2 linked regions of the Drosophila melanogaster genome follow. The gene in region 1 interacts genetically with each later gene. Each region holds a gene or a part of one and is shown on either strand. Other genes may lie near its edges. The genes, in order: Lrt and robo1.

What was found.
Region 2: of Lrt (region 1) and robo1, changing one suppresses a phenotype caused by changing the other (phenotypic suppression), as found in Drosophila melanogaster (one study listed by BioGRID).

What each region holds. Positions count from the first base shown.
Region 1 is NT_033778.4:20,644,726-20,660,176, forward strand, and holds the start of Lrt (Leucine-rich tendon-specific protein), read left to right. Parts: upstream 1-1,634; 5' UTR 1,635-2,238; coding exon 2,239-2,321; intron 2,322-7,831; exon of another isoform or gene 7,832-8,489; coding exon of another isoform or gene 8,490-8,680; intron 8,681-8,814; coding exon of another isoform or gene 8,815-8,967; intron 8,968-9,019; coding exon of another isoform or gene 9,020-9,178; intron 9,179-10,244; coding exon of another isoform or gene 10,245-10,281; exon of another isoform or gene 10,282-10,371; intron 10,372-11,030; exon of another isoform or gene 11,031-11,128; coding exon of another isoform or gene 11,129-11,262; intron 11,263-11,341; coding exon of another isoform or gene 11,342-11,405; intron 11,406-11,457; coding exon of another isoform or gene 11,458-11,546; intron 11,547-11,613; coding exon of another isoform or gene 11,614-11,767; exon of another isoform or gene 11,768-11,884; intron 11,885-12,504; coding exon 12,505-12,910; intron 12,911-13,165; exon of another isoform or gene 13,166-13,237; intron 13,238-13,378; exon of another isoform or gene 13,379-13,450; intron 13,451-13,590; coding exon 13,591-14,778; intron 14,779-14,843; coding exon 14,844-14,990; intron 14,991-15,055; coding exon 15,056-15,141; intron 15,142-15,199; coding exon 15,200-15,451. Other genes in the region: DMAP1 (DNA methyltransferase 1 associated protein 1), read left to right, coding at 54-643, 703-857, 928-993; CG16799 (uncharacterized protein), read right to left, coding at 8,490-8,680, 8,815-8,967, 9,020-9,178, 10,245-10,281; CG11159 (uncharacterized protein), read right to left, coding at 11,129-11,262, 11,342-11,405, 11,458-11,546, 11,614-11,767.
Region 2 is NT_033778.4:22,691,537-22,708,767, forward strand, and holds robo1 (roundabout 1), read right to left. Parts: upstream 9,435-17,231; 5' UTR 9,342-9,434; intron 9,060-9,341; exon of another isoform or gene 8,661-9,059; intron 8,499-8,660; 5' UTR 8,417-8,498; coding exon 8,266-8,416; intron 8,199-8,265; coding exon 8,077-8,198; intron 7,841-8,076; coding exon 7,660-7,840; intron 7,549-7,659; coding exon 7,430-7,548; intron 7,370-7,429; coding exon 6,916-7,369; intron 6,856-6,915; coding exon 6,376-6,855; intron 6,319-6,375; coding exon 6,236-6,318; intron 6,170-6,235; coding exon 6,009-6,169; intron 5,948-6,008; coding exon 5,866-5,947; intron 5,801-5,865; coding exon 5,630-5,800; intron 5,572-5,629; coding exon 5,479-5,571; intron 5,415-5,478; coding exon 5,216-5,414; intron 5,158-5,215; coding exon 4,883-5,157; intron 4,828-4,882; coding exon 4,536-4,827; intron 4,474-4,535; coding exon 4,241-4,473; intron 4,184-4,240; coding exon 3,852-4,183; intron 3,777-3,851; coding exon 3,017-3,776; 3' UTR 988-3,016; and 1 more. Other genes in the region: CG30259 (uncharacterized protein), read right to left, coding at 9,908-10,333, 10,390-10,968, 11,883-12,106, 12,399-12,651, 12,722-12,862; Obp59a (Odorant-binding protein 59a), read left to right, coding at 11,181-11,543, 11,625-11,870; Obp58b (Odorant-binding protein 58b), read left to right, coding at 13,174-13,221, 13,405-13,756, 13,821-14,032; Obp58c (Odorant-binding protein 58c), read right to left, coding at 14,409-14,617, 14,678-15,026, 15,083-15,124; Obp58d (Odorant-binding protein 58d), read left to right, coding at 15,412-15,540, 15,597-15,725, 15,780-16,178; CG30275 (uncharacterized protein), read left to right, coding at 16,288-16,556, 16,616-16,930, 17,147-17,231.

The sequences.
Region 1 (15,451 bases):
CTTCATTAGACTTCTTATTAAGTAGCCAAAATTGTAAGCCATTTGATTTGCAGGTTCGATCTTCGCTTCATTGTGATGGCAGATCGTTGGAACCGTCAGCAGCATGGAACCAAAACTGTGGAGGAGCTCAAAGAACGCTACTATGAGGTGGTCGCTCTGCTCGCCAAGGCCAAGAATCAGACGAGTGAGAAGAAAGTATTTGTGTATGACGTCGAGCACGAACGGCGCCGCAAGGAGCAGCTGGAGAAGCTGTTCAAACGCACGACACAACAGGTGGAGGAGGAGAATATGCTTATCAACGAGATGAAGAAAATCGAGGCGCGCAAAAAGGAACGCGAGCGCAAGACACAAGACTTGCAGAAGCTTATTTCGCAAGCGGATCAGCAGAATGAGCACGCATCGAATACGCCGAGTACGCGAAAGTACGAGAAGAAGCTGCACAAAAAGAAGGTACATCAGCAGCCGCGACCCTCCAGGGTGGACTCGGTGGTTAATGCCATAGAGATCGGTAGCAGCGGCATCAAGTTCGCCGACCTGCGCGGTTCCGGGGTTTCTCTGCGCTCGCAGAGGATGAAGCTGCCGGCGAATATCGGCCAGCGCAAAGTGAAAGCCCTCGAGCAGGCAATCCAGGAGTTTAAAGTTGGTGAGTCAAAGCATGAAAAAACATTGCTAGCTGTCGCTAATTAAAACTTTTCTTTGTAGATCCCGCTCCGCCGCCCACGGAGGACATTTGCACCTCCTTCAACGAGCTTCGTTCCGATATGGTATTGCTCTGCGAGCTTCGCACCGCCCTATCCACCTGCGTCTACGAAATGGAGAGCCTGAAGCACCAATACGAAGCCGCCTGCCCGGGAAAGGTAAGTCTTCTGACCACAGTAATGACAGCTCAACCAATGCGGCTAATTGGTTTTCCCTTAATCAATGCAGACACTGAACATACCGCCCTCGCTGGTGCCCATCAAGACCGAAGCCCTGGACAATAGCACAAATTAATTAAGTTAACGCGGCCCGTTTCCACTCAGATTCCCCAGACGCCGAAGTGTGTGCGGCGTGCTAATCATTGTAACCCGTTTTCCACTGTCCATATTTGTGCATTTGCGCTACTCCCAGTCCGCATGGGGAAATAAATGGATAAACAAGAAAATTGTTTTGCGGCACACTCAATGTGAAAATCAAATAGCCCACGGCCAACGTTGGCCAAGCAGATGCCATGTCGAGTGTGAGAACTTTTTCCCAACTGCTTGATTTATTTTCCAGCCAAGAAATGCTCGCTTAGTTTAGTAGTGGCTCGCTTATTTGGGTTAGGCCAGCAAACAGCAAACAGTACGGTATGCGATCTTTGGCGAGCCGAAAAAGAGAACCGAGCCATGTTCAATTCGACAATGCACGATGCCCGCTGCCCGCTTCTCGATTCCTGATGCCTGCCCACACAATTCGGATGTAGATGCAGAGGCGGTGGCGGCAGCCCATTCATCGGACCAGTATTTGTGAATGAACCGACTGCGAAGGCAAACACACACAGAACACAACACAGACGAACCAAAAAAAAAAAAAAAAAGAAGAAAAAAAGAGAGGAAAACGCACATGAAATCATTCTGTTGGCGGCTCGACCTGCCTTACCTGAGCGTAGGCCGCTCAGTCGAGTTTCAGACGTCGTCGGGATCAGTTCGTGGCTGTTGATTGCTCCTACCATTTCAGTGTTTCTGTGTTTTGCCGCATGCAACTCGAAGAGTACGGCTCTGTGAAAATGCTAATTTAACCAAATACTCAAGTGGTCGTTGCTGACGTCGGTCGGTGGAATTGGAATTGCTCGCCAAGCGCTACCTGTTCGTCATCATCATCATCATCCCTATCCCAGTCGTCTAAAACTCTGGGAATCCTGGCGGGGGGCAAGACAAACAACGCATCCGTTTCCGGTTCTTTCTGTTGATTGTTACCATCATATACATATATATATATATAAGTACATACCTACCTGCAGTTCCTGCCGCTTTTCATGAATGAAATTTTAATTTCGTGTGTGCGCGAGTGTGTTTGTGTGCGAGCGGCGAGTCCAGCTTGAGCCCGAACTCCAGGGGTGTCAACTGACGGCCCACCGATCGCATTGTCGCCGGTGCACCGTAAAGATCTTTATCGCATTTCAAGTAGAAACGTTCTGGAGCACAGGGCGAGACCCGTCGGTTATCAGGTAGAAAACGGAAACGTTGCTCCGGCCAGGTTAATGCGGTTTATTGTTCTATGAACGCTGCCAGCAACGTCGCTCTGTTTAAGTTTCGCACGCTGATAAAGAGGACCTCGCCCATAATGCGGCCAAAGCTTAGGTGAGTGTATAGTTGGTCTCTGCGTTAATTTGATGGCAAATAAACATTTGTGTCGCCCACAACGATTTATGCGATAGAAATCAGAGTGCTCTGAATACCACATGACTTTGTGGCGAATTTTAAAACTCTCTCTCTAGCAGAAATTAGCACAATTTAATCTAACAAAAGCCAGCTAATCGCGAAGTCGATTCGGCCGCGGGCTCATAATAAACTCGTATTAAAATTCATAGATATAATGATTTCGATCAGCTCAAAAGTCGTTTAACGCCGCCCAACGCACGACACTTCCGTTGTGTGTGTGTGTGTGTGTGCGTTTGTCTCGAATTTCGTACAACTTCATGGGCTAATGTTTTCCCAATTCACCTGAGAGGCCCACGCATTTCGAGGGCTCGAGTGGAAAGAGAGACAATGGAGGAAACCCACACACGGAGGCTCCACTGTTTTCCCCGCTCGGTTTACGCGCAATTAGCGCTTTGTTGTTGCCTCTCTGCCGTCTCCAAGCTCTTCTAATTTTATATAACTCATCATTTTCACAGCGGGCAGCTCTGGATGCTCGATCTTAACTTACGGCGACAATGAAATGGGAATGGAAAAAGACGTTTTTTTTTTTGTTTACATTTCATTTTCGAACGCCCACAATAATAACGAAAGCGGAGGGTAGACAAAAAACGATTGCTCATAATTAATGTTTATATAATTTTTTTTACTGCTTTACATGCGGCTCATTAGCCGCCTGGCCTGGGCTTTTGGAATCCACACACATTTGGTTTCTGTTCTTCTTGGCTTGACATGGCAAGTTCGTTGCCTAAGTCTTTTGTTTCGCCAACCGTGGGCGATCGCTTGATGCGGGACATACACATATACCCATAGCCAAGGAAAAGAGATAAAATAAGAGACATTTGTGCTACTTACTTGCTGCTGCTGCTGCTGCTGCTGCTGTGGTTGCTCCACAACCAGTTGCCAAATTTGGCAATGGGAGCGCAACGACAGCTGCCTACTGCCCACTTACTTTTTGTGCTCAAAGTGTGTCGCTGTCATCCGACGAGATCCAATGAGCTAATGTTTTTTGGGTCTCCCCCCACCCATCTCCACCAGCACACAATGATGATGCTCTGCTGGCTAAGAATGTGTGCTAGGATCATCCTAGGGCTTTTTTCTAGCAGTGCATGCATAACTTAAACAGCCATTCACTTAGCATACTCCTCCGCAGCATCCGAGCAATTTCTTGCCACACAACTTTGGGTCTATCTGGCATTTGCATTCGTGTGTGGGCAGCCGTCGGTGTGGGCTAGACCAAGATCTCCGGCAGTATCTATCAGCCAACTGATGTCGCATAATATGTTCAATTTTGTCTATTTTCGAGCTCATTTTCATGGCATGGCGGCTTTCTTCTCTCTCAATATTTTCCCCCGAAATTTTCATTGATTTTTGATATCGCGCCAGCAGCGATTTCCATTTTATTGGCTTGCTGTCTTTATGGTCTGTATGTATGTATGTTTTGGCTCGACTTGTCACGGCTTTCGAAATGTCGCAATTAACAGTCGATTTAGCATTATGCACATGCGTTGGCGGCCTCCTCGTGTCTCAACTGGCTTTCTGAGGTTTGCGTGGGCTGTGAACTTGGTTTCTTAGGTATCTCGGTTGCCTCGGATGTGGACTTTTTTCGGGGGAGGTACGGGGAAAGTTACAAAAGAGGCCCAGCTTTTGGGTGGCATCACTATAAAAATTGTACTTATACCTATTTATATTTAAAGATTATTCAAAGTTAAGATGTCTGTTATAATTAAATTAATGATTTTAATTCATTGCCCAATTCTTGGTGCTTTACTTTGATGGAATATGAATTTGAACTTAATGATTTCTTCCTGTCCATTTTTTCATAATATGATGTTTTAGTTTATTATATGGCACGACGATCCTTTCACGTTAATAATATTTAAATGCTCTTATACGCATTAAATAAATGACCCACAGGCAAGTGAAATGAGCTGCAGGAGCGAACAGACCAGAACCCAAACATTGTCCATAAATTTCGAGCTCAAATTGCTTTTAGTTGTTCGCAGCGGCTGCCGTCGGCCATATTCATATGCAAATGGCATACAACAAAAAAAAAAGCAGGCATACTCGGATTTAAAAACATTTTTGGACCAGAACGGGCCAACGAAAAATCCAATTTAATTTAAATTAAACACAGCCTGCTCCAAGTTCATTCATGTTCATGTTCAGACGGAGGCTGCGAGGGCCATAAAGTGCAAGATTTGGTAAATAAAATAAAAATGCCGGCTTAAACAACTTCGAAAATGGTTTGTTTACCTTGCCCCAGGGGAAATCGCTTCGAATCGGATCGGATCAGCCGATTCAGTTCTTCCCCCGGCGGATTACCCAGATTATTTTATTGTTCAGAATTTTGTTTTATTTCACATATTGGCCTCATCTGAATGTAAACAAAGGACGCAACTTGCAGCGACTGCTGTCACTTATGGCTTACTTTGTCCGAGATTTGGTTAATTGTTCGAGTCGAGCAGCTGCCCACGTGTGTGTTCAATTAAAAAGTAATTTGCCCAGCACAGGCAGCTCGACAAACAAAGGCTAAAACGGCAAAAAAAAAGCAGTCAAAACCAGAGACGACAGCCAGTCAGCCACCCACACGTTTCCGTTGACTTGTCGTCGGCCCACTCTTAAAAATAATACTCACTAATTTTATTTCTCGGATTTGTTGCTTTTGTTAGCCCGCCTGCCTTTTTTTTTGTCGCTTACAACTGAAACAAGTTTGTCAGACCTGTGATTTGCAGTTCGCTTTGACAATATTACCAGCTATTTGAAAATGCCAGCGAGCCCACATTAAGACAGATGTTGTTGAGGCTATTTAAAAATTGAAAAAGATGTGAAAAATTTTTCTTTCAAAAAAATATATAATATATTTGATAGCTTCGAGATTGTATTAGCTTTCATGTGCTCAGAATTTTAGCGTAGACTGGCATTATAATGTATAAGTACCTCACTTAATAATTATCTGTAGCGAATGCCCAAATAAACAGAAATAAAAATGCTGATTAAGCTTTGAGTGCATTTATACGAGCATCGAGAATCATAAATAAGAATGGAAATTTGATATTTCAGATCCTCGGCATCCGTTTCCGTCTTAATAGAAAGGGACTTATTTGTGTGGGTCCTTGAATGGGTAAAGAAAGCCTGCCAGGATAGGCATCACAATTAAATCCCTTTTTGTATGTTTCAGTTTCCTGTCCTTTTGTGTCGGCACATTTTTCCCTTTTTTTTCGGCATGCTAAATACCTGGACAGACCACAATTGTTGATGCTGGTGTGGCTACTTGAGTTCAGTTTCGAAAGCAGCTGTTTCGGTTTTCCAATTTTATTTCTTTCATTTTTCAGACCTCACGTCTGTGGCTGCCACTTTTGCGTGACATTTCGACCTTTGGTTGGCTTTTGCAGCAACTTTTACTATTTTCATGCTAGGCATAAATTTCATTTGCCACACACACAAACGCGCTCGTTCAGTATGTGCCACATTTCGATGCGCTTTCAACACTCGAACAATGCACCAGCATGTTGATATTCAATATGGCCGAAACCAAACCGAAATAAAATGAGGAAAAAATAAAAATAAAATAAAATAGCAAATTACTAATTTCGCCTTTGGCCTAAGCAACATGTTGCTGTCATTATGATTAGCTACATGTTGCCCAATTTGCTGGCTGCAACAGTTGCTGCTGGTTTTTTTTGCTCGCTCATTCGTTTGCGGTTAAAAAATAAAATATTTAACAATAAATAATTAGGCAACACAATTGCAGCTGTCGCCAAATTGTGCTCTACACTTTGCTGCACAGAAAAAAAAAATAAGACACATTTCCCTTAAAGTAGCAAATCGGGTAATAAAAACAAAATTGATTGTTATTTTTATGAACATCTAGCTGTATAATTAACAACCAAGCTCAAAGAGCAACTACCATTCGTTATCTGTCTACCTACAATTACTTATAATCTTTTTTCTTCAAATTTTTTTTTGCCATCTATTGCCAAAGAAGGCGAGCTAACGAAAAACGCGTTTTTAATTGTTCGGTGGCTTATCGCATGTTTTGACCATTTTGGGAGCTCTAAATTGTTTGGCAATGGTGAGAGGAATAAATACGAGAAACAAAATAATAACATTGCTATGCCAGTTAGGCCACAAATTATGTGCAAAATAAATAAGAATCGTTTTTACAACGATCCTCCGCTATTTCTGATTTCCAATCAGTTTCGAAGTTTTGCGGCAAGTTTTCAGAGTCAGCTGCACTCACACCCATTTCGCGGCATCATTATCATATGGCTGTATCTCTCGATCTTCATGCAGCATCATCCGGCGCAGCACAGAAAACGTTGCAATGCCGTTACCAACGCAATCCATTTCCAACCATTTGGCCGTGTTTACACCCATATACCATATAGCACACACAATATACCATCTCATGTGCAGAGCAGAGGGTTTATTTCCGTTGACGTGCCTTAATTTCAGGCAGTTTGCGTCTGGCTCTTGCCGCAGTTTCAGTTGTTCCTGGTGCCCAGGTCTCCGATGATGACGATGGCGCTACGAACCGAGCGCCTACACAGCAACCGGCGCAGATTTCAAGCGGTTTACTCAGCTAGAATGGTGGCTTGCCATTAAGTTAAGTCATAATGTTGCTAACCAAAAACTGGATTATTCTCTAATGCCAATCAGCACGTTTTCGGTTTATCTGGCTTATATGTGAAACATATATTGAAAAACAAATAAAATTAGTTGCATGCTAAAAACCCGATTGATTATTAGAGTGCATTTGAAATTCGCCTACAGCTGGCAGGCGATGCGGATGTGTGGGAGCTGGCAGCTCCAGATGAATGAATAATCAACCCAAACTGGCGTCTCCAGTCTGCAGCATACATGGAGGTGATGGGATTCGGAGTGGCTCAACTGGTTGTGGCGACATGATTAGCGAGTCCGTGCTAAGTCTGAGGCTAAACAGACAGATAGTTGGCCCATGGAACTCGGCAGACGGATATGGGGATCGAGTTTTGATCGAATGCTCCTGCTGACTCACTGGCGACAGGTCAGCGATGGCATCTCCGAGTTCCACGATTCCACGGGCGGTGGGAAGTGTGGGGCGTGGCATTTTATGCATAATTAGCCACACTGAGGACGGGTAGGAAACCAACAGAATGGACTGGCTGGGGGACAGCGGAAATTAAAGGCACTCAAACGTTTCGAATCGTTGACCAGTTAGCGTGACAGAGGTGGAGTTGTGCTGAGCTGCATTTTAAAATATTTTTATTGTTGAGGATGTTGCCGGTGTGTACGCAATGGTCAAAACAACACTTGACTCGCTGTCGCTGCACAGAAAGAAATAATGGTCAAGTATAAGCCACTAACAACTGGTTAATATATATATCAAATTATGTAGCCAAGTCTATCTTTATCACGTATTAAAACAGAAGTTGAGATAAACATGAAATCCATTTGTGAACAAATATTTCCCATTTATTTTCACATATCCTGATTATTTCTTTTCGGTGTGCGATTTAAGCGGCAAAGCTCGGATTTATGTTGACCACGTACATATGCAAAACGCATTCTAATGGAACCGGCGATCCAGTGTTTCCTCTGCTTATGTTTTGGCCATTGTAGTACAAAGTTACGCTCTGATTTTTGAGCCTCCACCTGTTATTGTTTGCCCCGGGGCTTTGCACGGTTCCCTGAATGATCCGATGGTGATGCCCTGCGGTGCGTTTGGCCATTGTTGGCCAGAAACGGAAACGCCGCCTTTTGTCGAGCGGAAATGCAAAATGATATTGTTCGTCGTGGTGGCGGTGGCAAGAACCCAGCTTGCTATGATTGACTTTGAATGGGTCTCGGTTTGCAGTCTGTTGCGCTGCAGCTCTGTGGACTATCAATTACCACCCAGTTGCAGTTGCAGATGTCATTGGAAAGTGGCATCAAGATCGCAACGCCCAAACAAAGTGCCAGGTCGCCCACTTGGCAGCCCTCAGTCTCCGATTCGCGATCCCTGTGTGGGCATCAGCCAAGAAATGCAACTCCGACCAAGCAATTATGCAAAAGCATTTATGTACACGTACACATATGTAGTATGTATCTTTAAGATAGATGTTCAAGTAGCATATAGCACATAGCTGTTCAGCCCGTTAAGAATCCACGAGGTGATCGCACTGGAGACAGGCTACGCAGGTTGCAGGCCACGCGGAGATTGGGCAGATTCTGTGGATTGCGGCAGAAGCGATCCCAGCCCTTCCAGTATTTGAAGCCCTCGCGTTCCTGGATCATTCTGGCGCAGGCGATGTCGTCACTGATGTCGTCATTGGAGAAGTCTGCCAAAGATGCGTGATTAGTGAACTTTTTATGCAAAACAAGCACCTCAATAGAGTAATTGAATTGAAATTGATTGATTGAACAGTTGAAATTGTTTCCTGCTGATAATATAACTAGTATAATGCAATCTTACCTTCACATTTCATATTGCACTGCCCTCCTTTTCGTCCTTCGCTGCAATAATCCTTGCTGTTGATCTGAAAGAGGCCATAGTTCTTGCTTTCGTTTCCCTTTTTCGTTACTTTGGTGGTGTCCAAGTAACTTTCGTGCTCCACCAAACAGATCCCTAACAAAACTAGCTTTAATTCAATGGATTTAATTTTGTAGTAATGACTTACAGTTGGAAATGAAGGTCTTGTCGAAGTTGTAGTTCTCCACCAAAACTCTTGTGAGTTCGCAGCGCTGATATTTTTTGGACTCCACTTGCTCGATTCCCAGCTGCAGCAGGATCAGCACTGGAACTATCCATAAACAAAAAGTTTTCATGTTCATCAGATCTAAAAGGAGATCAGAAGGAGAAGGCAACATCGATTGCATTAGAGGGTATTTTGCTTAGTTTTACGTGTGATCCTCATTATTTATGGACATACTTAACTCCTCACCCAAACGGTTCAAAGAGCTCTGTTGTGCGTATAAATTCACTTTCCCATTTCGAAGCTACATATAACACCTGGTTTTGGTTCGAATATTTAACAATCTTTGAAAGTGTGGAATTACCAATGGACAGTTGGCATTTTTAGTGGAGATGCTTTCACAGTTCTGTAGCTTTTCGCAGTTTCCCATGGCATGTCTTCTATTTAACACCAAACAATATTATTCCTAATAATAAGCACTACAAAATTATCATTATATACACCTTTGTTTACTCCCACGCGTTCACGAAGCCTTGAATGTTTTGGCATCTTTATACTTCTTTATTGTTACTTACATATCTATATTTCATCCATTCTATCTAGAGAAATGTCCATCACGTTTGTTTACGTAAAACATATTTATAAAGTTAATAGATATTGAGTTATCATGATGAGATTAACATCACTGGTTGTGTTCATTTTATTATTTACTGTTTTTTATTTTATTTTATTACCTGTTTCGTTTTTAATTATCAATAATTTTTCTATAAATTAGTGTCGTTTTTTTGTTGGACTTTTTTGTTTCTGTAGAATTGCCTTACATGTTGATTACGTGTCATTAAAACGTGAAAAATTCGTATGTAAATAATAAAGAATATGATTTATTCGCAACAGTTTAACTAGTCACGGTTATCTAATACCAAAAACACAAATTAACTTCAACGCAGTTTTAAAGTCTCCTTCATAAAGGAAACCCACTGTGCACGTTTCACTTTTCATTCAGTTTTCCATGCAGGCAAATGTAGTAGTAGTAATGAGTTTAAGATATTTCCTCTAGCAGAACACTTTTACTTCGGCAAACAGTTTGTTTACTTTGTTTACCTAATTAACGCAGAACAACAGAGTTCTCGGCAGCAGGAAACGAGTTTTTTTTTTGAGGGGAGCACGAGTATCTGTATTTGTATCTGTATCTGTATCTGAGTCTTCTTACCGCGTTTCGTTTTGGGATGGCGTGCTTTCAAACACATATGTTTATATGTATGATTTGCACACCCGATCGGATCCGATGAGAAGCTAGCCCGCCGGTGCGACGCTGCTGGCCCGAGCTTAAGTACTGAACGCCCAAGTATTTCTCAGATACAATTGCGCCTCAGTTCGCTTTCGAATGGCGGCAGTTCTCTCCCAAAAACGACGATCGCAGAGCAGCAAGCCAACCAAACGAATTTGCTCGCCAGCCTGATAATGCTGATAAGGTACTAGCTAGTCACGGTTGAAAGTATACCACCTGAACTCTCTGACAAATCAAATGATTTGGATGGTAACGGAGAGGGTTTTGGGCTGGATCCATGACTACCAAACCCATCCTGATAATTGTGAATGAAAGCATTTATCAATCGAAGAAGCCCGAGTTCAATGATCCAAACTTATGATAATGTGCTTTATCGGAATTTTTGGTATAAAAAGATACTACAGAGTTTTATGAACGCGATCTAGCTAGCTACTATGTTTAATTTAAGATTTAGATCCACGTAGGTGGTATTAAAAGAGACTTAAATTTGTCTAAACATTGCAGTAAAATGATTATAAAATTTTTTTCATTTCTTTTGTACACCTATAAAAATGAACGTTCCATTTGATAGCTAAAATTTGTCAAAGGTGTTTGTTTAAACGTGGGGACAAAAAAACAACATTTTGCGATTACATCTCGCTGCAGCTGATAGCGGGAATTCCTGGAAATGCTTTAATCACGCGATTAGTAAAATAAATACACCTTATTCAATGAAACTGACTTAGGCTTTATGTATGTGCAACTTTAGTAGCTATGAGTAGAGTTAGTTAAGACTATGAGCGAGTCCAAGTGCAGCAGTCGAAGTCCTAGCAACGCGAGACATCGGGCAGCGTGCGCCCACGACATTTGCTCATCCATCCGGGCCAGGCCTGGAATCCGTGGCGGTTGAAAATCTGCATGGCACATCGCGAGTCATCCGAGATCTCATCGTTAAGGAACTCTGCAGCGGACGGGGAAGGGAGAGGAGATCATAGACCGTCATTATATGTGGGTGTTTTTGGGAAGTCTTGCGAACTCACCTTCGCATTTGATGTTGCAGATTCCGCCACGACGACCTTTGCGACACCAATTTTTGCTGTTAATCTGCGAAATTGCGCTTTAGAATATATTTGATAAGGAACGTGGGTTGACCCACCTGAAACAGACCGTAGCTGACGCTCTGATTGGGCAGCTGCATAGATTTGGATGTACTGCGTCCACTCTCCGCTTCCACCAGGCAAACCCCTTTGCGCAAATTTAAATGGGAATTTATATTTCTACTAATTAACTTATTTAGGATACATTTACTCACAATTTGATAGATAACTGCGGGGAAAGTCATGGCGCAACAGCTCCTTGGCCAACTGACAACGCGTGAGCAGCTTAGACTCGGTCTCCCATTGCGAAAGCAGGAGAAGATTGAGCACCAGGAAGAGCGCACCACCTTTGGGCAAGTGACTGGCCATGCTGGGTTGGGAGGGGCTTGTAATGTTGGAGGGACCACTGCTAATCCTTTTGGGTTCGAAAGATCCAAGAAGCGCTTCCCTCCGCGGCAACTGCGAGCACTGGGCACTTTGCTGCGGAATTATTTCTACGGCACTGGATGCGTAGCGCCCGAAATCTGGGTTTTTAAAGCCTCGCACGCAGTTTTTGTTTTCTTCTCCAAGTGGGAGGCGACATTCGGGAGCGGTCTGGTGACATGGAAAAATCGTGCGGGTTACTCATCGATGGGGATACTCCCATCCCAGTTTTAATACAAAAAATGTTTGAACTAATTTTGTCTGGGCAATCTCGAATGTATCTCAATCTTTGCCAGCTTAAAAAATATGACTTTTATTTTGTTACCATGTGGGATTAGAAAAAAGCAACCTAGTTTAGCTCTCAGTGCATTCAATAAATCGCTTTGATTGCGTTAAGCCGTAAATTGGCAAATTGTCTTGCAGAGATAACAATGGGAATCTTTAGCCCGAAACGCATCCACTAGATACTGGTTACTGGACACAGATGCACTATGTGTGGGTGTTTGTGTGTCAGAGTGTCAGTGACAACTGCGGCTTGACCTAAAAACGCATGATCTGTTGTTGTGCGAGGAGAGCAAGTGCATCCCGCCCAGTATCCAAGCATCCAAGCATCCAGACATCCAAGTGTTTTCGTTTTTCAATGCTCGTCCCACTAATTTCCATGAAAATTTTTCCACTTACAGTGCAATTCTCATGCTCTTGCTGCTGTGCACTTTGGCAGCGGCCAATGACCTCAAGGATCTGCTAGAGGACAGCACCACCAGTTCCAGCACCAGCACCACCTCCAGCACCATTCCCTCTTCAGTAACCTCGCCCACCACGCCCACCGCCTATGTGGTATCGGCGGCAGCGGTTCCCGCCCTCGTTGCCGGCAGAGGAAAGTCCAAGTCCACATCCGGAAAGTATGTGAACAAGAGCTCGCCGAGGAAGCGCAAGGCGGAGCAGGTGTCCTCGCTGCCGCTGCCCGTGGATGATGCCCTCATGGAGTGGAAGTGCCCCAATATCACGGGTACCCGGAACGCGGAACTCGAGTGCGGATGCGATCTGCCTCACACACTTCGATGCAACATTGATCTGCACGGGATGATGGTGAGATATTTCTAGGCATTTTCCAGATTTATCTATACAATTTAGATGATTGAGATAGAGATTTATTCGATCAATTCATTTTATGCTTATATTTTTCTATTTATTTAGCATGCTATCTTAATATTTAAAGTCGTATATTAACCTCTGATTTCGGAGTCGAATGCACCTATCTTATCAGTATTATCAATGATATTTGTGATTTATACTTAGATTTAATTAATTTAAAATCACAAATAGGCAGTGGGATTTTCAATTGACTCCGTGGCGCAACGGTAGCGCGTCTGACTCCAGATCAGAAGGTTGCGTGTTCAAATCACGTCGGGGTCAGAGGTAACATATTTTGCACTCTAAATATTCTGTTTAAAAATCATATTTTGATGTTGAAAATATGTATACTTCGCGCATCAATATGAGGGATATTATGAGCTATTAATTTTTACAAAATATATATATTTTAACTCTCAACTTTGACCCCGACGTGATTTGAACACGCAACCTTCTGATCTGGAGTCAGACGCGCTACCGTTGCGCCACGGAGTCTAGTTAGTAAGACTTTTAAAATATTTCTTAATAAATAAATAATCTACTAACTAATAAGTAATATACAAATATTTATAGAGTATTGATAAGTACATCTTTGCTTTGTAGCTTGATTTCTAACATAATTATACCTTCTACAGCTCCTGGCGGATCGACTACGCACTTCTCCCTACTCCATATCATTGCTGGACTGTTCCTTGCGCAACGTGACCTTCCTGAGCGACGCGAAGATCTTCGACAATGTCTCGCTCCACGGACTAGTAATCTCGTCCGGAGAGATCAAGCGGGTACACAAGTCCGCCTTCCTGGGCATTCGAGGACCGCTGCAAGCACTCGGTCTGCCCGGGAACGCACTGATGAGCGTGCCCTGGAACGCCCTGTCCACGCTGAGCGCCTTGGAGCGCTTGGATCTGGCCAATAACAAGATCAAGGCTCTGGGAACGGCGGACTTTGTGGGATTGACTAGCTTGGTTTATCTGGAGCTGAGCAACAATCAAATCTCTAGCATATCCCAACGCACGTTTGTTAATCTTCGAAAGCTGGAGGTGCTGAAGCTGGGCGGGAATCGATTGGGTGACTATGCCCAAAGCTTGAGGTCACTGAGTCAGTGCCTCAGTCTGCGACAACTGGACTTGCAGGCCAATAACCTGAATGGACCACTGAGCGAGCAAACGCTGCCCGGAATGAGGAACCTCGAGAGCTTGAATCTCAATCGGAATCTGATCAAGAGCATCCAGAACAAGGCTTTGGCCAATTTCTCGAGACTGGTGAGCCTCTCACTGCGTCACAACCAGATCGATGTGCTGCAGGATCACGCCTTCTTCGGCTTGGGTGCACTGGACAGCTTGGATCTGAGCTACAACGGCATCGTAGCCATCTCCAGTGCCTCACTGCAGCATTTGTCACGTTTGACCGTACTTGATCTTACACACAACTTCCTGCGAGCACTGACCTCGGATTTGATAGCACCGCTACCATCTCTTCGGGAGTTGCGATTGGCGGGCAATGACATCTCGATTGTGGCAAGAAACGCCATGGACGGAGCGAGGGAACTGGAGAGCCTGCAGATGCAGGAGAATCCCCTGTCCTGTGACTGCAGCATTCGTCCATTTGCCGAGTGGCTGCAGGAGTCGCAGCTCCATTCCAGTCTGAGTGCCTCGTGTGTGACGCCCCCGAGACTGGAAGGAGCTCCTCTACTCCAGGTGCCCGTGGAGACGCTCAGCTGCGACATGGACAACGTGGAGAAGGATAACGCCAACATCATGCAGCACCTGGAAACGTTAGCCAAGCCCAATCAGACGTCGCCCATCAAAGATTTGTCCGAAGAGGTCAGTACTATAATAAAGAAATTCGCTGTAACAACGTGTAATACTTATCATTATCCTTACCACAGATTATTCTACATGAGCTGCACTTTTCGACAGACTATGGACTGATCCTCACCTGGCTACTCAATCTGAGCAAAAAGGACTACATGTGCGATGCAATCTTTGTTTACAAGGAGGAGCACATCAACGAAATTCTAATAGATAACTCACCGGTAATTAATGTGGATAAACCGATCATGAAGGATCTTTTCTTATTCCATAATTTGATTCCTTGCAGATCCATTGCGAGAGTAAAGTGGTCAATGGCCAGAACACAGTCAGCGTCATAGTGCCGGACAGTTCCTCCCTGGAAATAGGCGAGAGGTGAGTTGTCCACCGACCGATTACCAGAATTAATAACTAATGTGCACTTTCCGTGAAGCTATCGATTTTGTCTGGTCATGATCCAGGAGCAGAAGCCCGACTCGGAACTGAACATCGGCTGCTCCAACATCACGCGACTGGAGCGGAGCAGTCCAGGTGCCGTTCCCGTGTCCCGTCAGTATCAGCGACGTCCCTACTATAACGCCAATGAGCTGAAGCCCGAGGTGGTGCACGATGCTGGTGAGGATTACCAGGTGAATCAACGCCGCTTCAATTCGGTGGTAGGAAGTCAACCGCAACAGACGCAGCA
Region 2 (17,231 bases), 2.1 Mb from region 1:
ATCCCACAGCACTTCGCTGCATCACCCAGTTGCAGATTCAGATGCATCCAGATTGAGCCAGTGTGCCAGCCCAGAGTGGGATAAACAACACAACAACACAAGGCGCCGCCATGAAGTCCAATTGATGCTATCGCCAGCTCTGACCAATTTGTGGCCTGCCCGCATCTCTTCCAGCTCGCATCGCTCCGTGGCTCTGACCTCTTGCCAGGAAAAAAGGGTGTGATCCATTGGATGGGTGCTGGTAGCGGGAATTTGGACACGGGCATCAGAAGCTATCGTCAAGCTGTGACATATTTGTTTCAGTATAACATCACATAATTTGCCTTTGATCGCACACAAACATGTGTTGACTGTTATCCGGAAATCACCCTTAAACCGATAATAAATTTGGAAATCAATGTCGTATGTCATTACAAGTTCTTCTTGGCTAATTTTTCCACATAAGTTTAAATATGAAACCCTCAGCTTGGTAACACACTTCAACATCCTACACCCACAATCTAATCTCGGATCTTAAAACGATCTCCATAAGTCCCCCTCTCGACGAAAGCAGCCAATTTCCGATCCTAGGGCGTGTCCTGCAGCTAGAAGTGGTCTCATTTGAAAGGAGGATACATGAGTTTATAGAGTCCCGTTGGGAATTAACACTTGTCCAGCTTGTGGACCGACTTACACTTCCAGATTCACATGGAAGTGTAGACCGATGTAAACTGAAACTGGATTGAGGGGTCATGGTATAATCCTAAGGGTTGTCAGCGTCTCAAGTGCAAAGTTCCGCTGCAGCTGAAGAGGAATTCTGTAGAAGTACATATGTTGATATCCGCCAGGCGATCGGAGACCGTTACTGCCAAGGAATCGGTCAAATAAAAACTGAAGTGGTACCAGGAAATGCGAAAATAAGTGTGCACTTAGGATAAAGGAAAGGCATCCTAAAACCTCCAGTTCAACTTCAGATATATGTACCAACCAAAACAAACGGCTTAATTTCCACATATATGTAAAATGTTCCTTTATTGTTTATGTAATTTTAAATGCTATATGTATATATCTAGATATAGTATTTATATCGTAAGTAAATGTCAGTTATTATTTTTGCTTTTGAAAAAGTTCGTTTATGGCATTACGCACTAAAAATTAAATGTCCGCTTCGTTAAAGGATTCGTTTCGTTCTTAAAATTCGTTTACGCTATGACTTTAAAATACTCCCGTTACACAACGCTAGAAACTAGTTGCTAATTATTAAAACCCAGACCCAACTATGCTTTCTCTATATGTATATGGCTACGGAAGGGCAGTTCAACTCAAGCAAGTTGGTTTCGATACTGGGATTAGGAGTATGTTTTATGTATATATATATAATATATATATGTACATGCCGGCCGATCTGGGCGGCTAGCAAGGAAGTGGATTTGTGTGAGTGTATGCTAAAGCATATTTTGATTTGATTTGATACATGCGCGGTTCTAGGTGCTATATGATCTCTATATAGGTAAGTGTAATGCATATGTGTTTAGTATTGTTTAAACGATTCGTTGACTCTAGTCCCCCCCTGGATACTTCGTATATCCACAGCTCGTATGCCCAACCACTTCTCGCGAGCCCCCTTTTTTCCCAATTCAACTCACGATCCGGGGTTTAGTGGAAAAGTGTCTGGGCCTCTTCGGCGAGCCGAACTATCTGAGCGTTACTCTACTCCTCCTCGATTCCATTCGATTTGATTTGATGATATATCCATTTTGCATTTCTAATGTGATACGTGCCTAAGATCTAAATTATGCTATATACTCGCCCAAAAAAAATCCGTCTGTGTGGGGATTTCTAACAAACATTCCTCGTCGATCGAACAGAATGAACAAAAAACGCGACTCAAAATTAGGAAACCATAAATATAAAAATTATTAAAATACTATAATGTATAATGGGGTTATATCACAGGTACATTTTAGACTTTTCAAAATGCAAGATTGTAGAAAACATTGTGTCTTGGAGGGATCTGCACAGGGACAGGACAACGGAACGGACAACTGGGGTTGGTTCGGCTGGCCGTGTGCAGCTCCTCAACTCGTCTAAATGCTATGTATGTAAGTAGTAGTGTGGTGTGTCGTTTAGTATGTATATATATATATATATATATTCACTGGGTCAATGAAGTATATTATTCCTTGTTATAGAAAAGCACTAACCATTAAACATTGCAACTGCCGTTTCACTTGTCGCCTTCAAACTCCACTCAACAACTCCCCACAAGTTCGAGTCGGAGACAAGTGCTCGATTGTGATCGTAGATATGAAAGAGTTTGCATACAAGTATCGTAATCAGTATCGTATTGTATCGCTATCAAGCCTATTGACTAGGACCGATTCAAAAGCCCCCAAAACATGCTGTACAAATGGTGTACTTTGGTTCTAACTACATTCGTCTTGAGTAACCACCGTCTTTGTGTGTACTTGCTATGGCCTGATCTGGTTTATCATCTGCTATAAGTTCCTTTGAGTACGTATTTTAATGAAGTTCTGCTGGGACACAGATCCCTGCTATGTAGTGATTACTATCTCCTCGCGCTCATGAAGCAATATCTATCGTACAGCACTCGCGTCTCTTAAGTACAAAGGTTCTCGTTTCCCATTGGGGAAACATTTCTGTGGTGCATGGATGGGGAAGGGGCACTGTGCCTGTCTATGAGTCTCTACGCTGGTAGATGTGATAATGGAAAAATTCGTAATTGCTAAAGCTGCACAATGCCCCCATGATTGTGACAAGTGTGGTTTTGTGTATCTGAGTGTAATACCGAAGATTCCACTGCAACATGTTTCCTCTTTATCTGCTAGCATCAGTTTTCGAAGACGCATGTTGTAGTGGACTCCAGACATCAATTATTCTATTCGATAACTGATGCAGAAACTTTGAGTTCACTCAGTTCCTAGACTGATTTCCAGTTCGATATGAATGAAGAGTTAGACTAGATGCTATCTTTAATCCTAATCCCCCTATTCGGAGAGTCTCAAACACTTCATCCTTAGGTGTTCTTAGCAGTCATTTGACGAGGCGCCGGCTCGCCCGCCTCGGCGTAAAGACAGGATCCCTCGCTGCAGGAGCAGGTGTCGCCCTCGCGGGAGCTATTGCAACAATCGCTGGTGTACTGGCGCTGCTCGTACTCCGCCAGCATGTTCTCGTTCTCGCTCTCCATGCACGGCTGCACCACCGGGGCTCGTCGACGGTGGTGTCCTCCGCGTTGTTTGGCACTGCTGCCGTGCTCCTCGAGCTGCAGCTGCCGCTTGTGACTCTGCGAGCTCCTCGAGTGATCCGAGCACTCGGAGGAGCACTGGTAGATCTGGTGGTTGGAGGAGGTCGGGTGCATCGGGTGGCTATTGGGATGCACCGGTTGGTACCAGCCCTCGGGTACGGGAACTGGCGGTGGGGGTTGCATGGGCGAGGGTGTGGCCAAGGCATCGCAGCTGTTGCAGGCGCGGCTTTGGGCACATCGCGCTGCATTCAGTCCAGCCTGGTACTCGCTGGCTGCATGACGCTGTGTGGCAAATGGCAGGTGGTTGGGTGGTACAGCTCCTCCTGGACCCGTGGTGGCAAAGTAGGCCGGTAACTGTGGCGGATGTTGGTTTGTTGGCGTTATCTGATAGCGGTTCTGGGTGCCGCCAGCCACTGCCGACAGCGGATTGCTATAAACGTTTTCCGGTGGACAGGCGACAGCATATTGGGGCGAAACTCCCCAAGCTGAAAAGCCGCCCGAGGAGCTGCTGTGTATGGAGGCGTTCAGAATGCTGCAAGGGTATTAAAGTGTTAGTCACAGAACCCAAAGGCAATAACAACTATTTGAAGAATGTATATTAATGTACCTTTGATTTGTAGAAATGCCGGAACCTGCGCTTTTGGAGCTCTTCCGTGAAGATTCAGGAGATCCTTGTGCGTATCCATAGGTAGAAGACGGAGGTGGGTGTTCTGGCGGCGGGGGTAGAAACTCTGACCAGTTGATCGGTTCAACCGGATACTGAAGATAGTTGGATTTGACAACAGGAACCGCTGGCACCTGACCGGCAAATGCGTCAGAATAGGGCGAATGAGTTCCCGAGTCCTTATCGGCACTTATAGATGTTGTCTTGGTGCAGGTCTCACTGGAAGAGGTACCAATGATCATAGTGGTGGCGTACGGCGTGGGATTATCGGGGCTCTGAAAGAATATTTCCTATAAGAAATTGTTGTGTGATGCAATTCATATGATCCTCACCTTGCGACAATTGTAGAAGGTGGTAAGGTTACGGGTGTCAACTTCTGCATAATCGGTTCCTCCATCGGAGTTATTGTAGTTGGATTGGCTGCTGTTTACGTGGGATAGTAGCTTCGATTCGCTTAATCCTGAGTCTTTGTCAGTATCGGCAGTTCGCCATCCACGATGATGGTCTATCCAAAGGCTCTCTTTGCTATTGATGTTCAATGCGGTTATTTCGTTGTCACTGACCACTAGAAAATTCAAATCGTTATATTGTATTGAAAAAAAAAAGTTATTTAAAATCAGCACTAACCACTTAAGTGACCCAATTCCTTGGTCATTTGATGCTTGCGCTTGAAGTAGACCATCGAAATAGCCGCCGAAATAACCAGGACTAGAAGAACGATGCAGACCAGCACCATTAGCCATGGTCCAGATAGGTAGTCAGTGGTCTTTTTATGAGTGGTGGGATTAATGTCGCCAGGTGGTATGTTGCCATTGTTATGATACGTGAGATCCTGTCCCTCATGTCGCCCATCATGGGTGCCGCTTGGATGTGCCCGTGGCGGATGCACATGATGGGTGGGGTCCATGAATAGTGATATCTGTCGAATAATAAGAAGATATAAAATGATTCAAATGAAATGTCTATAAACTTACCGGTTTGGAGTAAGGTCCATCTCCTGCCTTGGTAAAGGAGTTCAACCTCACGCTGTACACAGCTCCGGTGGTTAGGTTATTTAGGAGCACAGATGTGGTGGTAGCATTAAGAGTCATATTGGCCAGCACCTTCATGGTGTTACCGGCGCTGACCTCAATCTTGTAGCCATACAAATTGCCATTGTGGTGCTGGGAGGGTGGCGGAGTCCAACGCACCCAACCGGCTGTTTGGTTGTACATGCCAATCTGAATGTTATCCGGTGGTGCGGAGGGAACTACAATCAAGAGAATATAAATACCCAGCACTTAACTTAGCTAGCTTCTAGTTGTTACCATCTTCATAGGTGAGGGCTGTCTTGGAGTTACTGGGCTGTCCTTCAATTGTCTCAAAAAAGGGTGTTAGGAAGAACTCATACTTGGTGTACTTCTTAAGGTTTCCCACCACAAACGATTCTGCAGAGGCATCCATAACAGTGATCGAGTGATACTGTGCGGATGGTACACTGGCATCCTTATAGTGTATGCGCAGGCCCTGGACAGAAAGGTATTGAAAAGATAAGCTTGGTTTGTTTATAAACAACAAAGGATGGACTTACCTCTACATATTTCTCATCAGCGCTCACGTGGAGCATCCACTCAAGTCTTACGGCACTAGCATTGATAGCCGAGGCATCTATTAGCTCCACCGACTGTTTAAACACATAATTAAGTTTTCGGATTTCGCTTTTAGTGATTATGTTAGCTTACCTTTCCCGTCAGCAAAGTTCGAGCTGCTGACAAATCATTGGCAGAAGCTGCATCGAAATCCGCCTCAATGGTTTTAATAGTATTTGATAAGCCGGAAGGCACAGAAATACCCTGAGTATTCTCAGCTCTAACTAGGAACACATACGAAGTGCCAGGAGTGAGACCCGAGATCTATATATAAAAATAGCAGAATGTGTGAGTCATGAGGAAACTTAAATATTCACGGCTTGTCTTACAGTGACTTGAGTGTCGCCAACTCGTTGGGCAGCCACAATCCAACCAGTTTGCAGATCCGGACTGAAGTACTCTACAGTGTATCTGCAATACAAAATCAAATTTATTGATGATCTCATTAAATGGGTGCGCCGCGTTAACTCACCCAATGATTGGGCCCACAGCTCCGGGTTTCTCTTGGCTTTTAGCCCAACGAAGACTAATGCTGGTGCGACTGACATTCAGGACTTTAGGTGTTCCTGGAGGAGCAGGATAAGTGCTAGGATCAGCTGCCCGGTGAAGAGATGTAGAACCGGGTTTTTCCACCTAAAGTGAGAGGTTTTTCATTGGTTAGTTTTGCATATGGCTTAGGGGATTAACCCTCAAACCCACCGTTAGTGTGGCAGCCCAGGAAGTTTCTCCTCGTTCGCCAGATGCAGTGCAGGTGTAGGTACCAGAGTCACTAAGTTGAAGGTCTACAGGGAAAATGAAATTGTAATAAATGGAAGCCAGAACTTCTATCACCATCTCACCATCGACTCTCAGTGAGCTTCCTTGGATGATGCTGTATCGATTGCCCGCTTGTACGGCATGTCCATCGTGGAACCACTTAATACGGGGACTGGGATTTCCGGTGGCCCGACAGGGTAAAGTAGCAACTGATCCCTTGGGCAGTGTTTGATTGGCAGGTCCGATTTGAATAATCGGAGGTGGACGCTCGTCTAACGAGCTGACTTGCAGGAAAACCCGTACTGTAGAGGAATCGACTACACTGAAAGCGGAACACACATAGTAGCCTTCGTCTTCCTGCCGCACATCCGTAATCTGCAGAGTTCCATCGGCAGCCACATGCTGCCTCCCGTGCGAACTATTTGGGAACATGAGAGTGGATACTCCTTCCTTGGTCCAGAAAACAGATGGCGGTGGGTTTCCGGAGGCCATGCAAGGTAGTTGGACAACACCATTTAGTCCCACTTTCTTGTTACTGGGTCTTTTCGTAAAGTTCGGCGGAGCTTTAATGAAAACAATTGAAGATTAAAACGCGATTCTTTGGTAATGGAACTTAATCTTACCATGGACTATAAGAGAAGCCCTAGCGCTGATCTGACCGACATTGTTGTGTGCCTCGCAGACATAGGTGCCCTCATCGGTGGGCGTTATGTTGGATATCTCTAAACTTTTCTCGTCGTGAAGGATTCGCGCTCTGGACACCGGAATATTGCCCTCCTCCTTTTTCCACAACACTTTCGGCGGCGGATCACCGCCCACTGAGCAGTGGAAAGTGGCTGTCTGGCCGTAGAGCATCACCTGATCCTTGGGCTCCTTCATAAAGTATGGTTTGACCTGGACAATCAGCTTGGCATAGCTGCTCTCGCGGGTGCCTACCAGATTCTGGGCAATGCACTTGTAGTTGCCCTCATCAATGGGCTCCACATTGCTGATCAGCAGGTTGCCACCGTCCACAATTCGAACGCGGGAGCTGGCGCCAAACGACATGGCTTTCAGGTCGTCCAAGGGAACGCCGTCCTAAGAGCACAAAAAGCGGTTTAGACAACTGACTTTCGCAGTCTGGTTTTCGGAACCCACCTTTATCCAAATCAGCGTTGGCTCTGGAATGCCTTTGGGCGGCCCACACTCCAGCAGAGCCGTCTCGCCTTTGGCCACTCGCGTGTCTTTGGGCTCCACGCGAAAATCGTCGCGCAAAACTAGCGAAGAAAAATTGCAAAAATATCAAAAAAGCACATTATAATCGGAGACAAAGCTGGGCGTGTGGGCAGACAAGTTGGAGAGCAGACTAGAGTGGCGGACTAACTTACCAGCTATCTGGAGCGAGGCATGGCGACTAACGGCCTGGCCCACTCGGTTCTTGGCCACGCACCAGTACTCTCCGCCGTCCTGTTCCTTCTTGCCCTGCATTGTCCTGTAGAAGAAGAGGGCGCCGTCCTTGAACTGGACGCGGTGCGATTTCTTTTCGTTGGTGCTGACGGGTTCGCCATCCTGAGAGCGGAAAGAAGAGGGGGTGATTGAGTTACGATTTGGTTCGGTTTCGAAGGCTACACGGAAAAAAACAACTACTCAAAACCACTTATATTTTGTATAATTTTTGAATTCATTTTTGTTTTGATATTTAAAGATAAATAAATATACAATATTGATATGAAAACATTAAGATCAAGTTTTCTTTTGCCAGTGTAATGGTGATTCAAGTTAGAAAAGTATTATTTGGTGGGTACCTTAAACCACTCAATGGTGGGTTCCGGCTTGCCCTCCACTTTGCAGTTGAGCGTGGCGGGTTCATTCTTCTTAACGACCAGATCCGTGGGATGCTCGATGATACGTGGCGATTGGTACTGGCCTGAAAGGAGTAGGAAGGATGTGGATTAGCCACTGGGCCTGGGGAGGATTACCCAGGATGGGTTTACCTCTGACTGCTGGCAGGCCATTGCTGGCCACCAGGACGAGGAGCAGCCAGGCGGGCAGGAGCCACATCCTGCTGCTCCGACTGCGAGATGGGTTATTAGTGGTGCTCGTGCTCCGGGCGATGGCGTGGTTTTCGGGATGCATGGGATGCATTTTATGGTGTTGGTGCTGTTGCAATGACGACTCTACAGATGACCCAATGCAGCGGCGATCATTTTGGCGTTGTTTTTGGGTCCTGCGATGCATGATAGGTGATAGTATGTGGGTTAACTAAATGTGGGCAGCTGTTACATATGTAGGCGTGGCGGCATTATGGCTAGGCATTTATGGGCTTTACTTGCTTTTTGCTTTTTATCTGTCCAAAAACTCGAAATTATTTCTCGCCTGCTCCACTTACGCTTGCATTTCCATGCGATAAGCACACACACACGCACACACTCACGCACACTTGGACACTCACACACCCACACACATGTGTCTATGCTGGTTTTCCATTAATTTTATTTCCGTATTTATCTGCCTTTGTGTTTATCGCTCAGTCTCAGTCGCACCGACCCGAAAATTTACAATCCAAATTCTGATTCGGAGTTTTGATTTCACGTTCTCACACTTTCTTTCTAACGCTTTTTTTGTATCGTTCGCTGATTTGGTTTTTATTTTCCTTTTTATTTTTTGGATTTTATTAATCAGCCGCGCAGTGTAAGTTTTTGTTGGTATTTATTCGACGATTGCTCGCTTTTCGGGGTTGTTTTCTCCATCATCTCTCCTCGCGCACATTTTCCACATTTCCCGAACGAAATTTCTTTTTGGTAAAATTACAAGAACAAGAACTGCCCCGCCACCCCTCTCACTCGCACACACTGCCGTTCTAGCTGCCTCTCGCTCGCACCGCCTGCCGTTCCTGGGACTTCCCCCCGTTGTTGTTGTATCTATATCTATAACAGAGTGTTGTATCTATAACTCCTTGTAATATTTGCTTTACATCCGCAGCAGCTGCACTTTGTAATATCCGAAAACGAGTATCTACTTCAAATGGAAGCTTCGCGGTTGGATCGTACTTTCTTGGGTGCAAACTTACTCCAATTTAACTGTTGGAAATTAACTATTTTCCTGCTCTTTAGTGCGATTCACGGCGCAGCGAAAACTCACAATTGGACGTGGGTCGTGTCTGTGGAAATTTGAGAGCGCAACGCCCGGAATCGATATATCGATATATTTTGGGGTGTACCGAAAAGGAATACTCGAAAATACCAGAGGACATATTTATCAGTTGATCTGGTAGCGCCGCGTAAAGTAACTATTTGAATCTTTAATTGATTTCTATTGTATTGAAATTGAAATCGAAAGATATACCAACTATGTTTTAAGATATTAATAAAATGTAAATATTTAAATTAATGTATGTATTGTGATGTTGAATGGTTTATTAAAAAATTCCGTTTTATTCAGAATATCTATATAATTTGTGTGTGATTGCTTAAATACGTATATATTAATATTCATGTTCACGGTAGAACCAACTGTAAAATACTATAAAAATATATAGATAATTGTTATGGTAGAGAATAGTTCCTACACCAATTTAAGGTGTTTTGTTTAATATAGTTTCCCTGCATTAATCAAATAACTACAGAGTCTAGCAAATTATTCCATTCTGGCCAGGTTCATCTTTCCCCTAGCCAAAGTCCTCGAAAGAACCACGTTGGAGAGGTTGGCTTCGAAGGCAGGCGCTCGGCTGCGTCCTGGATGCAAGTGGAAAGTGGGAGGTGTGGGCGCCGCTGGGCGACGACCAGTCGGCTGGGCACTCTTCACCAGCTTGGGCTGGAGCTGCAGGCGCGACACTCTGTCCACGGACATGCTCTTGGGCCGCCGGGCTAGATAGCTATGGACGTGGCTATTGGAGCCATTGGCAATGTTCAAATTTACCAGGTAGTCCTGCAGCTGCGTCTTTAGCTGGCTGTTCTCCGCCTCCAGGCGACGCTTCTGTTGCTTCAGGCAGGCCACGTCCACGGCCACGTTGTTGACGCGTCGCCAGAAGGACTCCATTTGGGGTACCACTGCCACCTCGTCCTGGTACGTTAAACCAATGTTGAATGAAGAAATTACCTACTGGCATTTTTACTCACCTTAAGAAGATCAGTGGCTGGGTCAGTCAAGGAACCATTACCCTGATCCTCTATATCTCGAATCTCGATAATCTCCTTGGATATTTCCGGCAACTGGAACATCCGCTCCCGCTGGGTTTCCATCTTGGCACAGACCGCAGACAACTGTGCCAGAGTCTCGCCCTTGGCCACAGTTTCCTGGAGGAATTCCAAGGCATGGTAGCTCTCCACGGACATCAGCTTGAACAACTGGTGATCCCTGGCCACCTCCTGTTCCACACAGGTGCGTAGCTCCCTTAGTCGCTCGGTCAACTGCTGTTTGATGGCTTGCCGCTGCTCCAGTTGGCCCTGTTGCTTGATGTAGAACTCCTCGGAGACCAGACGCAAATTGGTCAGCTGGTCTACCAGGTGCTCGATTTCGTGGGTCTGCTGGCTAATCTGGAGGGCTGCCTCCTCATCCCGCTGCTTCAGATCCACGTACTCCGAGTAAAAGCCTTCGATGTGCTGACAGTAGCCCGCCAGAACACCCTGATACTCCTGCCACAGCTTCTCCAATCGAGCTTCACCTCTGGAGGTGATCTGCTCCAGCTGTAGTTGCATCTGGAAGTGGGGTTCAATTTAACATGTTTTCATAAACTTTTAAAATAACCTTTATTGTAAAATATAATCATCGAAGAGCATTGCACGCAATTGTAAAATTAAGATTGATATGTGTCTTGGTTCATTGTGCGTCAGTCACTCTGTAATTTGGATGCCATTCTCCAGAACTATAAATGATGTGGGCATAGCTGCTCCTCCATTCAGTTCCCAAGATGAAACAGTTGATTTTCCTGCTGATTTGTTTGAGCTGCGGCACCTGCTCCATTTACGCACTGAAATGCAGATCCCAGGAGGGACTAAGTGAAGCGGAGCTCAAGCGAACTGTGCGCAACTGTATGCATCGCCAGGACGAGGACGAAGATCGAGGACGAGGTGGACAGGGCCGGCAAGGAAATGGCTATGAGTACGGTTACGGAATGGATCACGATCAGGAGGAGCAGGACAGGAATCCAGGCAACAGGGGCGGCTATGGCAATCGAAGGCAGCGAGGACTAAGGCAATCGGATGGCAGGAACCACACCAGCAACGATGGAGGTCAGTGTGTGGCCCAGTGCTTTTTCGAGGAGATGAATATGGTAGGTGATCCAAGAGATTCCTTTCAAAGTCGAAATCCTTCAGAGAAGCAGGAGCTTATTCCTTTCAATTCTCACCCACAGGTGGATGGCAATGGGATGCCCGATCGGCGCAAGGTGAGCTATTTGCTGACCAAGGACCTTCGGGACCGGGAGCTGCGCAACTTCTTCACGGACACCGTGCAGCAGTGCTTCCGCTATCTGGAGAGCAACGGAAGGGGCCGGCACCACAAGTGTTCAGCGGCCCGGGAACTGGTCAAGTGCATGTCGGAGTACGCGAAGGCGCAGTGCGAGGATTGGGAGGAGCACGGCAACATGCTCTTCAATTAGGATTAAACTCACCCCACTTTTTAGGTCCTCGCAGCGGTCCAAGAAACGCTCGTGGTTGTCCCGGATCCCGCCATCGGTGTTCTCCTCCAGCTGATAGAAGACGCACTCCAGTTGCTGCTGCTTCTGGGCATGCATCTCCTTGAACGCGGCGGAGTCCTGCTCCCACTGGCTCAGCACCGCCTGCTTGTCGTCCTCGTAGATCGTCCGAAAGAACTCGATGCGATCTCTATGGGTATCTGGGTAAAGGATAAGAAATAAATGGGTTAGAAATGAGGCCTAGTTGCGTTGAATGGTTTGTGTCCATTTTAATTTTCATTTTACAATGCTTCTTATTGTTCATAAAATGTACATCAAAATACTCCAGTAATTTTTGGATTTCCAAATATTTCAATGTTCTTATTAACGAAAGCATTAATATACATGTGAAATCCATTCCATTCATTTTAAGTATCTTTAAACATATTGCTGTAGCTGTGTATTTAGTTTCTGATTAAAATGTTATTTTTAAGGATGTTATCCCAATCGTACCAACTATCCTGGTGATATTCTCCATGTGTGACTGCTGCAGATTGGCGTACATATCCTCGGTGGATTCTATGTGAGCAATGAGGCGATGGATCACCTGGTCCTTGCGCTTAAGTGCCTCCTGAAAGAAAGACTCCACATCGACGATTTCGCGGCGCAGCTCCTGGATTTTCACCTGGCGCAAAATGCTCCGCCACTCCTGGTTGATTTTAGCCATATTGAGTCGACCAAAAGCATCCTCTCTTTTCAGTTTGTTCTATTTTAATGGGAAAAGTCATACCATAGGGATTTTGATTTTGATTTACTGCAAATTCGTGGTGTGTTACCTTCATGTACATGGAAATGAGCTGCATTTTCCGCCGCCTCGTCTCTTCCTCCATGTCGGCCCTCATTTGCAAATACCTGGCCCGCTCCTCCTCGGACATGTTGGCCAATTTGTTGCCTTTTCCTTTACCCTTTTTGCCCATGATTTAGTTTTTTTTTTTTACGGCTACCAAAAATCAGCTTATCAAATTTCAAAGGCCAATCTCTGACTAATTAGGCGAGCAAAGAGCCGCCTTGGAAAATAAATAATAAATTGACTGCCGGCGTTGCCATGACAAGATTCACTAGCCCACCCACTCCATATAATTTCGCTTTTCGTCGCCAGGTTTGTTGCCATAATAATGGATGCGAATTAAATTAATGCGAAACAGTGGAAAACGCCATTAGGGCTGTCCATCAAAGGGGAACCATTTGACATATAAAACTGAGGACGAACCGCTGGAAAGCTGTCATCATGCTGAGAATTGGTTTCGTGATTTGTGTGATTATATCACTGCGCTTGGTACGTACTCATAACACCGTTTTCAATTTGTTCTGGATTGGATAATGTTCGAGGGTGTTTTTAATGGATTATCCACACTAGATCGGATTTATTGTACATAATAATTTTGAAAGTTCAAGGTCCATCGGGGATCCGTATTCGAGCTACTTTTTAATCCTTTAATATGTGCATATTTCTATGCAGAATGGACTCGTGGCTGTCCGAGTTCATTGCCGGCACATGGAGCGTATTCACGAGGAGAACATCCACCATTGCTGCAAACATCAGGATGGCCACGACGATGTCACGGAATCTTGCGCCAAGCAGACCAACTTTCGTTTGCCCAGTCCCAATGAGGAGGCCATCGTGGATGTGACCGTGGACCAGGCGATGGTTGGAACCTGCTGGGCCAAGTGCGTCTTCGATCACTACAATCTGATGGAGAACAACACACTGGATATGGACAAGGTGCGCTCGTACTACAAGCGGTACCATCAAACAGATCCGGAGTACGCGACTGAAATGCTGAATGCCTACGAAAAATGTCACACACAATGTGAGCTCATGCAAAATAACCATCAACATAGTTTAAAATTGAATTTTTCCATTCCAAATTTTAGCTGAAGAGGCCACCGAAAAGTTCCTATCACTTCCAATTGTTAGGGCCTTCTCCACCGCCAAGTTCTGTAAGCCGACCTCGAGTATCATCATGTCCTGCGTCATCTACAACTTCTTCCACAATTGTCCAGCGAGTCGCTGGTCAAATACCACCGAGTGCGTGGAAACCTTGGCCTTTGCTAGGAAGTGCAAGGATGTGCTGACTACTATGTAAGCACTTTAGAGTCCTGCCTCAGGAAATACATTTTAATTGGGAAAACGAAATGATTTTCCAATGATTAAAGCAAAACAATGGCTCTCAATTCATGTGCTCTTTTGGTTTATAAGTAATGGTGGGTGATTGAATGCCAACTCAGCAATACATTTAATTAAATGGATTTATTGTTATCAAATCACTTGCAAAAATACGATATTAACTAATGTCAAGTTGATCGTATTTGTTTACCATTACATCCCTATAAAAAAAAAAACATCCAAATATACAGAATAATTCTGAATGCATAACATTTTTTCATCTAAACAAAATAATTCGAATGTCGTAAATCGTAAATTTAATGTTCTTTATTGCAGAAGAATGATATTCTCATTATTCACAAAGTAGCCAGCGAGTCCTGGCACTTCTTGCTGAAGGCCAGGGTATCCTCGCACTCCTTGGTCTTCGACCAGCGATCCGCCGGGCAGTTGTGGAAGAACTGGCGGATGACACAGGCCAGGACGACACTAGACTTCGGATCGCAGAATTGCTTGGACATTTGCTTGAAGAGGGGCTTCGACAGGAACATGGAGGTATTCTCTTCGCCTTTTGGTGAAAAAAATATCAGTTAGCCAAGAAGTTCTTGCTGAAATAACAACTCTGTACTTTTGCCGTGACAATGATCAAAGGCGTTGATCATTTCCTTGGCATATTCCGGATCGTCGGGAAACCTTTCAGTGAACAAACTTCTCACGGCATCCATGTCCAGGTTGTTGTCCTTCATCAGGTTCAGTTTGCTAAAGACGCATTTGCCAAAACAAGTGCCTCGGATGGCTCGGTCCGCCGTGATGTCCACCAGTGCCTCCTCGTTTTGATTGGGCAGCGTAAAATTGGTCTCCCTGGCACATCCTTCGATTAGATCATTGTGTCCATCGGGATGCTTGCAGCAATAGTGGATGTGGTCCTCGTTAATGGCCTCCGTATTCTCGCAATCAATTTTAATTCCACCAGCAAACTAAGTCATGTATTTGAATATATATAAACAGTGTGAATTTCATTCCTCGAACTCACCCAAATCAGGCTGAAAAAACTCAATAAAATGGTGCACTTCATTGCTCCGCCGTTTATACCAAAATCAGCCCACTACGACAGCTTATATAGTCACCCACATATCGTTTAAATAAAAACAGGAAACCGCTGCCAATTTGCCAAATGTCGAGCCATCAGACTGTCTGCAAATGTTTCTTTATCCGCTCATTTAATTCCAGTCATTACAATGGACATTTGTTACATTTAATTAAGCAATCCAATTTGGGTTTAAATTCATTTATCCAAAATGATGAGCACGCATGGTTTTATAAATGTTATGACCATGGTAAATTAATCACATTCGAAAAGCAATGGTCAACATTGTTTGTTATTGGACGTTCCTAATTCTGGTGGCCGTTTCAAAGGCTCAGGATAATGAGGAAACTACTGCAGTTGCCATATCTTCAGGTGACTTGACTGAGGATAAGTGTAACACATCGGTGAGCTTACTTTAAAACCGAACAGCAAACGTATTAAGTCTAAAAATTCAATTTAGAGGGCTGGCTGCTGTTCTGAACTTTATATAGGAGAAGAGGAGGACCTGGTCAAGTGCTTCGTTATACACTCACCCAAGTTGCCAGTGGATGGGGACGCTGACATCGGCAAGACACTGAGGTTTCTATCGGTAGGTAATTAAAGCTTTATATATCTATTATAACGAAAATATTTGTATCTTCAGTGCTTTGTGGAGTGCCTGTACAAGCAAAAGAAGTACATTGGTAAGAGCGACACCATCAACATGAAGATGGTCAAGCTGGATGCAGAAAAGACATTTGTGGATCGGCCCAAGGAGAAGGATTATCACATTGCCATGTTCGAGTTCTGTCGCAAGGATGCTGTTGGGGTCTACAACCTTTTAAAGGCCAGTCCTGGGGCTAAGGTGCTCCTGAAAGGAGCCTGTCGCCCCTATCTATTGATGGTATTCATGTGCATCAGTGACTATCATCAGAAGCACGAGTGTCCCTACTTCCGGTGGGAGGGCACTGCCAAGGCAGGAACTAAGGATATGTGCGAAAATGCCAAAGCCGAATGCTACCAAATAGATGGAATTACACTGCCCACAAAGAGTCCTGCCTAAGAATACGTATTAAAAAAACTCAAAAATGTCATGTAATAAAATTAAGCTTATAAACGCAGTATGTTTTTTAGTTTTAATCACACACCACACACATAAATTATTCGCACTGATGAATCAGTTTCAGATTCGCTTGGCTCAAGCGGGAGACCAGGATGGGCTCAACAAGCTGATTCGATCGCCAGGTGTCAAGTGGTTCGGCAATATCCGTCCGAAATTTCGTGGCAAGGACTCCCTGTTCAATTCCTATCAGACCTACAGGATATTGGCTTTTTGCACTGAATCCTCCGCATTGGTGGCCTATGCCGAGTTCCGTAACTATCCCTCCATTGCCGCTTTGCCCACGGATTGCTGGTTGGAATGGTTGTCCACCAGATACTGGTACTGATACAAGGACTTAAAACGTTGAATATATCATCTATTTCCGATATATCCTTTAGCCTATCCATGTCCATTAGCTGGCTGAATGCGTTGTTTTTCAACTTTTGCGTCTACAAGAGCGATCAGTCCCCGGTTCTGGTTGAGATCATAAAGGATGTGCTCTACAGGGAGAGCAGGGTGTGGTTTCTGATCACTGTTAGGTGTCCGTATGTGCCACAACCCATCCACTTTGTGGAAACCTTCGATGATTTGGAAAAAATATCCCAGGTCTTTTACCCGCTGGAATATAGCATGGATAAGAATAACAACACACAGTCCCTGTACATTGTGGATAGGTTCGTAATTCTGCCGAGGATTACTTACCGGAAGGCACTGTAAGCTCTGTTCTTTGTGCTCCTTGTTCAAATTGTATACTATATCAGAAATAGCATTTGAAATTTTAAATTCAAATGCCTCTTAAAAAGCAGCAGACTACTAATCAGTTTGTCTGAAATCGATATCGCCTACTAAGATATTGTTAGATATTGTTAGGCATTTGAAGAAACTGTTTCAATAACATTCTTGTTTTGTTTTAAATATTTCCCATGAAGGGCCGAAGATAACGACGATATTATAGCAATGCAAGAGGTCGAGAACCCAGAAATGCGAGAGGAGCTGGGCGACTACTACATTGCC